Xenopus tropicalis: one gene and its partner. The protein of the gene in region 1 purifies or fractionates together with the protein of each later gene. This does not show direct contact. Links are inferred from orthologs where the notes say so. Each region holds a gene or a part of one and is shown in the gene's direction. Other genes may lie near its edges.

The links.
Region 2: the proteins of casp10 (region 1) and faslg purify together in Homo sapiens (co-immunoprecipitation; 3 studies listed by BioGRID and IntAct, with this or other methods). This does not show direct contact. The link is inferred for Xenopus tropicalis from reciprocal best matches to the Homo sapiens genes CASP10 and FASLG.

The regions. Positions count from the first base shown.
Region 1 is NC_030685.2:53,954,926-53,958,762, reverse strand, and holds part of casp10 (caspase-10), read left to right. Parts: intron 1-893; 5' UTR 894-933; coding exon 934-1,229; intron 1,230-2,912; coding exon 2,913-2,963; intron 2,964-3,837. UniProt on the Homo sapiens protein: Involved in the activation cascade of caspases responsible for apoptosis execution. Recruited to both Fas- and TNFR-1 receptors in a FADD dependent manner. May participate in the granzyme B apoptotic pathways.
Region 2 is NC_030680.2:107,203,632-107,206,327, reverse strand, and holds the end of faslg (tumor necrosis factor ligand superfamily member 6), read left to right. Parts: intron 1-335; coding exon 336-745; 3' UTR 746-2,116; downstream 2,117-2,696. UniProt on the Homo sapiens protein: Cytokine that binds to TNFRSF6/FAS, a receptor that transduces the apoptotic signal into cells. Involved in cytotoxic T-cell-mediated apoptosis, natural killer cell-mediated apoptosis and in T-cell development.

The DNA.
Region 1 (3,837 bases):
CATTTTTGGGGATGATTTCTGCTCTGTGTAGCTGTTCTCGGGCCAACTCAATACAGCTAGATACTGGACCGTATTGGAGTGGATCCGCTTCTTTCTGCCTGCCTACAAAATGCGGGCTGAAGAAAGCAGACCCTACAGTTAGTGTAACCTTGCCCTCTGGAGCGAGGCATCAGCCTGAAGGGGAGCTGGGTTTCGTTGTGCATGTTGCTGAGACTGGGGTGGGGTGTAGTGGATGGCTGATGAGGGCAGGGCTGATAAAGTGCACAGCAGCACATAATGGTTGTAAGGCATGCATAAACACAGTTACTTATACATTTCACAAGAGCAAAATGTTGTAGTTTATTAAAAAAAAAAAGTATTGTATTATGCTAATAACATATATAACATATGAGGCACTTTTCAGTAGTCAGGGGCCACTGTGAGGTCTTGTGTGCTAACCCCATGAACTCCTCACCAACTCCAAATAATATTCACAGGCTATAAGCAAGTTCAACAGCATAACAAAAATGCACCAGCCCCCCCACCTTCGGAGAGGCCAGGAACACAGCTGCCTAGCTGCCCCCTCATCCCTCCGACTCACAGGTGCGAGCGCCCCTCTGCTGATAATTTCCAGGACTAGAGCGGCTGTAGAGGAAGAAGAACCCATGGTCTGGACCCTGATCTCTGCCACTGAACTGGTGTTTAAGGAAAATGGGCCAAAATGCGACATATAATGCTGAAACTCTGGCTTAAAATCTGAGAAATGTTTACTTTAAAATATAGTATAAAATGAAGGGCCTTCAAAAAAATGTCCTGGAAGGATCCAGGAAAACAAAAATGGGGGGTTTGACTGTATATTAATTTACTAAATTTACTAAAACTGAATCTTTATATTTCTATATCTCTTTTGTTAGGTGGAGCTGACACTTACCCTGCACCTCTGCACTTTCTAAGATGGATTTCAATTCTATGCTTCTAAGTATTGATGATGGATTAGGACGAGAAGATATAGAGGCTTTAAAATTTCTCTGCAGGGATGTCCTCAGGAAAAATAAATTGTTGTCTGTACGGTCTGGCCAGGAACTTTTTCAGCAACTCATGACCGAAGATTTAATAAATGAGGACAATTTTTTTCTGTTAAAGGAACTTTTATACATTATTAATCACCACAGCCTCCTCCGTAATCTTGGCACAAATAAAGAGAAAGTGCAGAAAGCTCTTCCACGCCAGGGGAGAATATCACCTTATAGGTATGATGTCCTCTATTTCATATGGATTATATTATAAAACTAACAGATCAGGAAAAATAGTACACTAATAGGTTAAATTAAATTTTTAATTCATTATCCCGGTGGGCCCAGGTCCACCCCCTGCTGGCTTGAACTTGTGCCTTATAAAATAGATGCAACATGATGTGTGTGTGTGCGTGCATGTATGTATGGGGAGCTTGCTGTAAGTCCAACCTTGGGTACACTTATTATGGAGTGCTCCACTAGTATCCTGGGCTGGTACAATTTTCAGCAACATGGGGCTCCTGCCTGGGGACTCAAATAAGTGATTATCAGTGGGGGTAATGTTTGGTTACATTAACTGTGAATGTTCCAGATAAAACACTTTCTTTTTCATGCAGGTTTTAATCACACTAGGGATTTGCAATTGGTCTTTATTTTTTTTAAAAATTTGTTTTGGTAGTATCCCGGGCTAGTGCAGTTTTCAGCAAACTGGAGCATCTTTCTGAGGTCTCAGATAAGTCTTAGTCAGTGTGGGGTGCTTAACAAATTGCCACTCCCCAGTGATTGTTCTGCTTTTTAATAATTTGTTAAGTCAACTGAGCTTTATCAGTAGTTACTAGTAAAAAACATGATGTTCCAGATTAAATAATTTCTTTTAAATGCAGGTTTGAATCATTCTGGTGATTGGTAATTCGTCTTCGTTTTTCAATTTCTTGTTGTGTATTAATTATTTATTTTTTCCGCAGCTCCCCAGTATAGAATTTCGAATGTTATATGGTTGCACGGTTCTCTATTAATCTAGCAACCAAGAAGTGGTTAAAAAGATTGGAAAATGGTTAGAAGAGAGTCTGAATAGGCAGATAAGCAATAAAAAGTAACAATAATTATAAAACTTACGCTTTAAAAGGGCAAAAGGGGCATCTGCCCAGGGCCCATTGACTGTGCCACTTTTATTTTCTTGCTATCCCCCTGGCCCTAAGATATGTGACAAGTGTAACCCCCCTTACCACACCGGGTATTTACCAGCCAGCACACATATATAAAAGACATGCATATGCTAGAGTGTAACGGTTGACACGTGACAACGCACTGTAGGCAGTGCTTGTGGTTTTCAGCAACTATATGCTGTGACATAGCCAGGCCTGCTGGTGTGCAGCCTCAAAGGAGATATATGGGATAACTTAAACCCCCTCCAATCTTGTAGCAATAATGTATAATTTATGGTGCTGGTTTCACTTTGGTCTAACAAATTAATATTGTCTTTAAAAATGGCCCCTTTATTGGAGCTCCCTATAGATCTGCTACGGTCCCTGTCCCAAATAAGGGGTGGGTGGTCCCTGTCAGAAGCACAATAGTATGGTCTGCACAGCCCTGCAGTCACACAAGCAAAGACAGGCTTCAGTTCCCTCTCAGGTCAGTCTAACTGCTGATTGGTTCCTATCCTACAGTGTAAATGCCACCATTCCCCCCCCCCCCCTGCACAGCCTAGGAAAGGAGAGTGCATGAAGTGGAACAGTTGGGCAAGACTACCAGGGTTTTTGCAGATTTTTTTTACTAAACACAACTATTTAAAGTACATTCCTTTTATATTTAAAGGAGAAGGAAATTTAAATCACTAATAAATGTACTGGCCCAGGATATTTCTGCAGATAAAACTTGTCGCCATCTTCTTCGGAATGTTCCCTCTTCTTTTCATTCCAGTTGTGGCAGGCACATGCGCAGTAAAGGGAAAGCCGAACTTAGAAAGAAAAGGTAAGACTCTTTGACTGTAATGCGCATGCCCGTGCTCCGGTGAAAAGAAGAGAAGGACAAATTATTGTGCAGAAATACCCCAGTCTGGTGCAGTTTTCTGCTAACAGGGTTAGTATCAGGTAAGCTATTACAATCACTGCCTACTCCCTAGTGATTTAGACTTTCCCTCTCCTTTAACCCTTTAAGTGCCACACAACATACTATCTGGGTTTGGGAGCGGAGGAGCACTTGTTCCGTTCCTTCCCCAGCCCCTAGGCAACGAGTAGAGGTGGGGAACAAATGGCCCCTGGGGCATGATCACCCAGGGGCCCCTAGGCAACAGCAAGCACGTGGTTACTATGTGCCTGCTGTTGCTTGCACTTTCTACCCACCCCCCCCAGTGCGAATACTCATAGAATCTGCAGGAAAGATGGCTCCTCCTGTTCCTGGGTTCCTCCTGTGAATCTCTAGCCTGCTTCTCTAGCCTCCCCAGGTTAATGTCACATACACATGCAAACACACACTTACTACACTAATACACACTTATACTTACACGCACATATACATTTTGGGGGGATTTAACACATTCACAGCACTCACACTTAGGGGCTAATTTACTTATTTACGAACGCCCCGACCGTTCGCTCGATCGGTCCAATCATATTTTCCGCGACTTTTTCGTACCTTGCATGACTTTTTCGGCGCTTGTGCGACTTTTTCGTATTTTCAGTGCGAAAAAATTGGATTGGATTTGCCGCTGTTTACAATAGTTCGGTACGAAAATTTTGTGACTTTCGGATCACAATACGATATTATCATGACTAATACGATTTTTTCGGAAGCATTTTTGTGATATCTGCGATCTTCAGGAATTTTAGTTTCCAATCCGAATTTT
Region 2 (2,696 bases), on another chromosome or scaffold:
GTAGGAAGTAAAGGAGTAGGTAGTAAAATAGATTACCAGTCCTCAGTAGAGGAGTAGGTAGTAAAACAGATTACCAGTCTATCTTTGCATAGAAAGATTATACAAACAAAGGCTGCAGATTAGTTATAGCTTCTGCCACACATGGCGGATTCTTGGCCTTCAGATAAACAAGGTTTATAATATTAAAAATAAGGAACATGGATTTTTAAAAAAAAAATAAATTTAAAACTAAACAGAAGTCCTATATATTATACTGATTCCGAGGGAGGATGTATATAGGTGTGTACTGCCCCATTACCATATATATTATTATTATTTTAAAAATACCTTTTCAGGTAAAGAAGGTAAAGAAGGTAAAGAAGGACCCACTTTGCCATTAGCATGGGAAGAAACATTTGGACGCGCTTTTACCTCTGGCATCCAGTACAAAAACAGAGGTCTAGTGGTGAACCAGACTGGCCTGTACTTCCTTTATTCATCTATTTACTTCAGAAGCACTTCCTGCCAGAGTAAAGAATTGTCCCATACTGTCTACAAGAAGTCCAAGAGGTACCCTGGAGAGCTCATACTGATGCAAAATACAGAGTATCAATACTGCACCTCCAATAACAAATGGGGAAGGCACAGTTACCTTGGCTCTCTGTTTAACTTCACCACGGATGAAACAATCTATGTCAATGTCTCTGATGTTAAACTTGTCGGTTTTGATGAATCCAGGACATTCTTCGGGCTTTACAAACTCTGACAATGTTGGAGTGCTCAAAGGAATTATAACTTACCTTAATACAATGGACAGTGTTGAATGTTAAAATTGAAAACAAGCTATATGAATATGACCTGCTCATAATATGTAACTGTTATACAGTGTGATCATTTTCCAGAATTCTGCAACCAACAATGATACCAACTGACATCAGTGTTGTAATACATGTAGATCTCAATGAGAAAGTCAGTTCCATTATTTCTCACTGTAGCATCCCTGACTTTTTAAACACGGTACGTGCTTTGACATAAACATGCAGGGCTTGTTCAAATACAAATGAATATGGCTTTCCAACCAAATTTACCCATCATGAATTATTTTCACTAAAAGTCCTCAAAGTCCACATTGATACAATATTACATATTGCCAACTCATATCCTGGATGCAATTACACTTCACTATACAAAACCTTTTCAAGCACAGAAATGGCCAAATATTATGTTAAAGAACCACTATTTGTATGTTTAATGGCAAACATGCCAATGATCATGCTTGTTGCTTATAGCAGTCCAAAAGTACAGAGGATGACCGGACAGAAAGAGAACTGAAAGCATTAAACACCTTGTACAAGAGAAGAACATGTATTACTCAAAAGGAAACAGAATGTACAGCAGAGATAGGAAAGTGCGGGATTCTGTTTAAAAGAATATGCGCGGCCGCAGAGTTCCTGCCCAACCACTCTCAAGTCATCAAGTCAAGTGAGATGTATGAAATGAGAATATGAGAGCTCCAGTTTGATTTGCTTGTGTTATGTGGGCAATACATTACAATGGAATTAACCAGCCCTAGAAATGATTACGTTGTTCCCAATGTAGCATGGTATCAGTATCAGTCACTGTTGAATTCTAAAGGTTTCTGAAGTAAAGCAGGCTATGTTAACTAAACAGGGCTAGATGTACTGTTTAAATGACACTAACAGGTGTCCCTTATTGTAAATATATAGATATATAATTTACTAGACTATTTATTTAAGATGTACTCCATGTAGTAGCCTGCTATATTATGATGAATATAAAAGTGAAAATACAAATTTAAATTGTGTGCTAATTAGTATGATTGTTCATGTGATACTGTAAACTGATTACTTTACTGGACATCAACATTTTCTGGGTTAAATTAATTCATGTTAATAAAATCTAACTTTGGGGTTAAGAAGAGTTAGTTTGTTCATCAATTTCTAACATTACTGGTGCTTTCAGGTATAGCTTTCCTTATCCAAAATGTATATTTAAACAGCCTGGACACTTTTTTATTTCTATATATTTTTTGTTTATGTTAGTTACAATGAATACACCCACAGATATTTATTAGGTATACTTGGCTATACAAATATCAGTTTTTGGCAAGAATAAACTCCTTATAAAAACAAGCCTTTTCTTTATTACATAGGGGTGAATTAGATGAGCATAGCTTTCTGTGTGTACTTTAAATTTATTATCTATTTAATGTTATATTTATGAGTAGCTAATATCATACTGCTTACCAGTGATGGTTAATAATAAGACTCATGCCTCGTTTCTATAAAAAAATAGGTATAGAATTGCTCCCATTAGCTTGCCATACAAAAAAGGGGGGCATTTACCAAAATTCACATTTTATTTGTTTTAACAAATCATGTTTTTTGCACTAAACCTTGAAACCATGAAAACCGCCATCTAGAAACTATCAACGTCATGTACAAGTCAGTAGGCAGCTGTCCTGTTTCCAATTGGAAGAGCTTCTTTTGCTTTGTGGTATTAGAGGTTTTGGGATTTTTCAGATTTTCCATTATTGAAAAAACATGAAAAATTTGTGGTTTTCATGTGTTTTTTTTGTTTGTGCTTTTTTTTTATAAGGCTGTTTTAATAACTGATTTATTGTTTTAATTGTGGTTTGAAAAAAACACAAAAATTTGAATTTGGACAAATGGCCCTCCCCTATTTATTAAATTGTG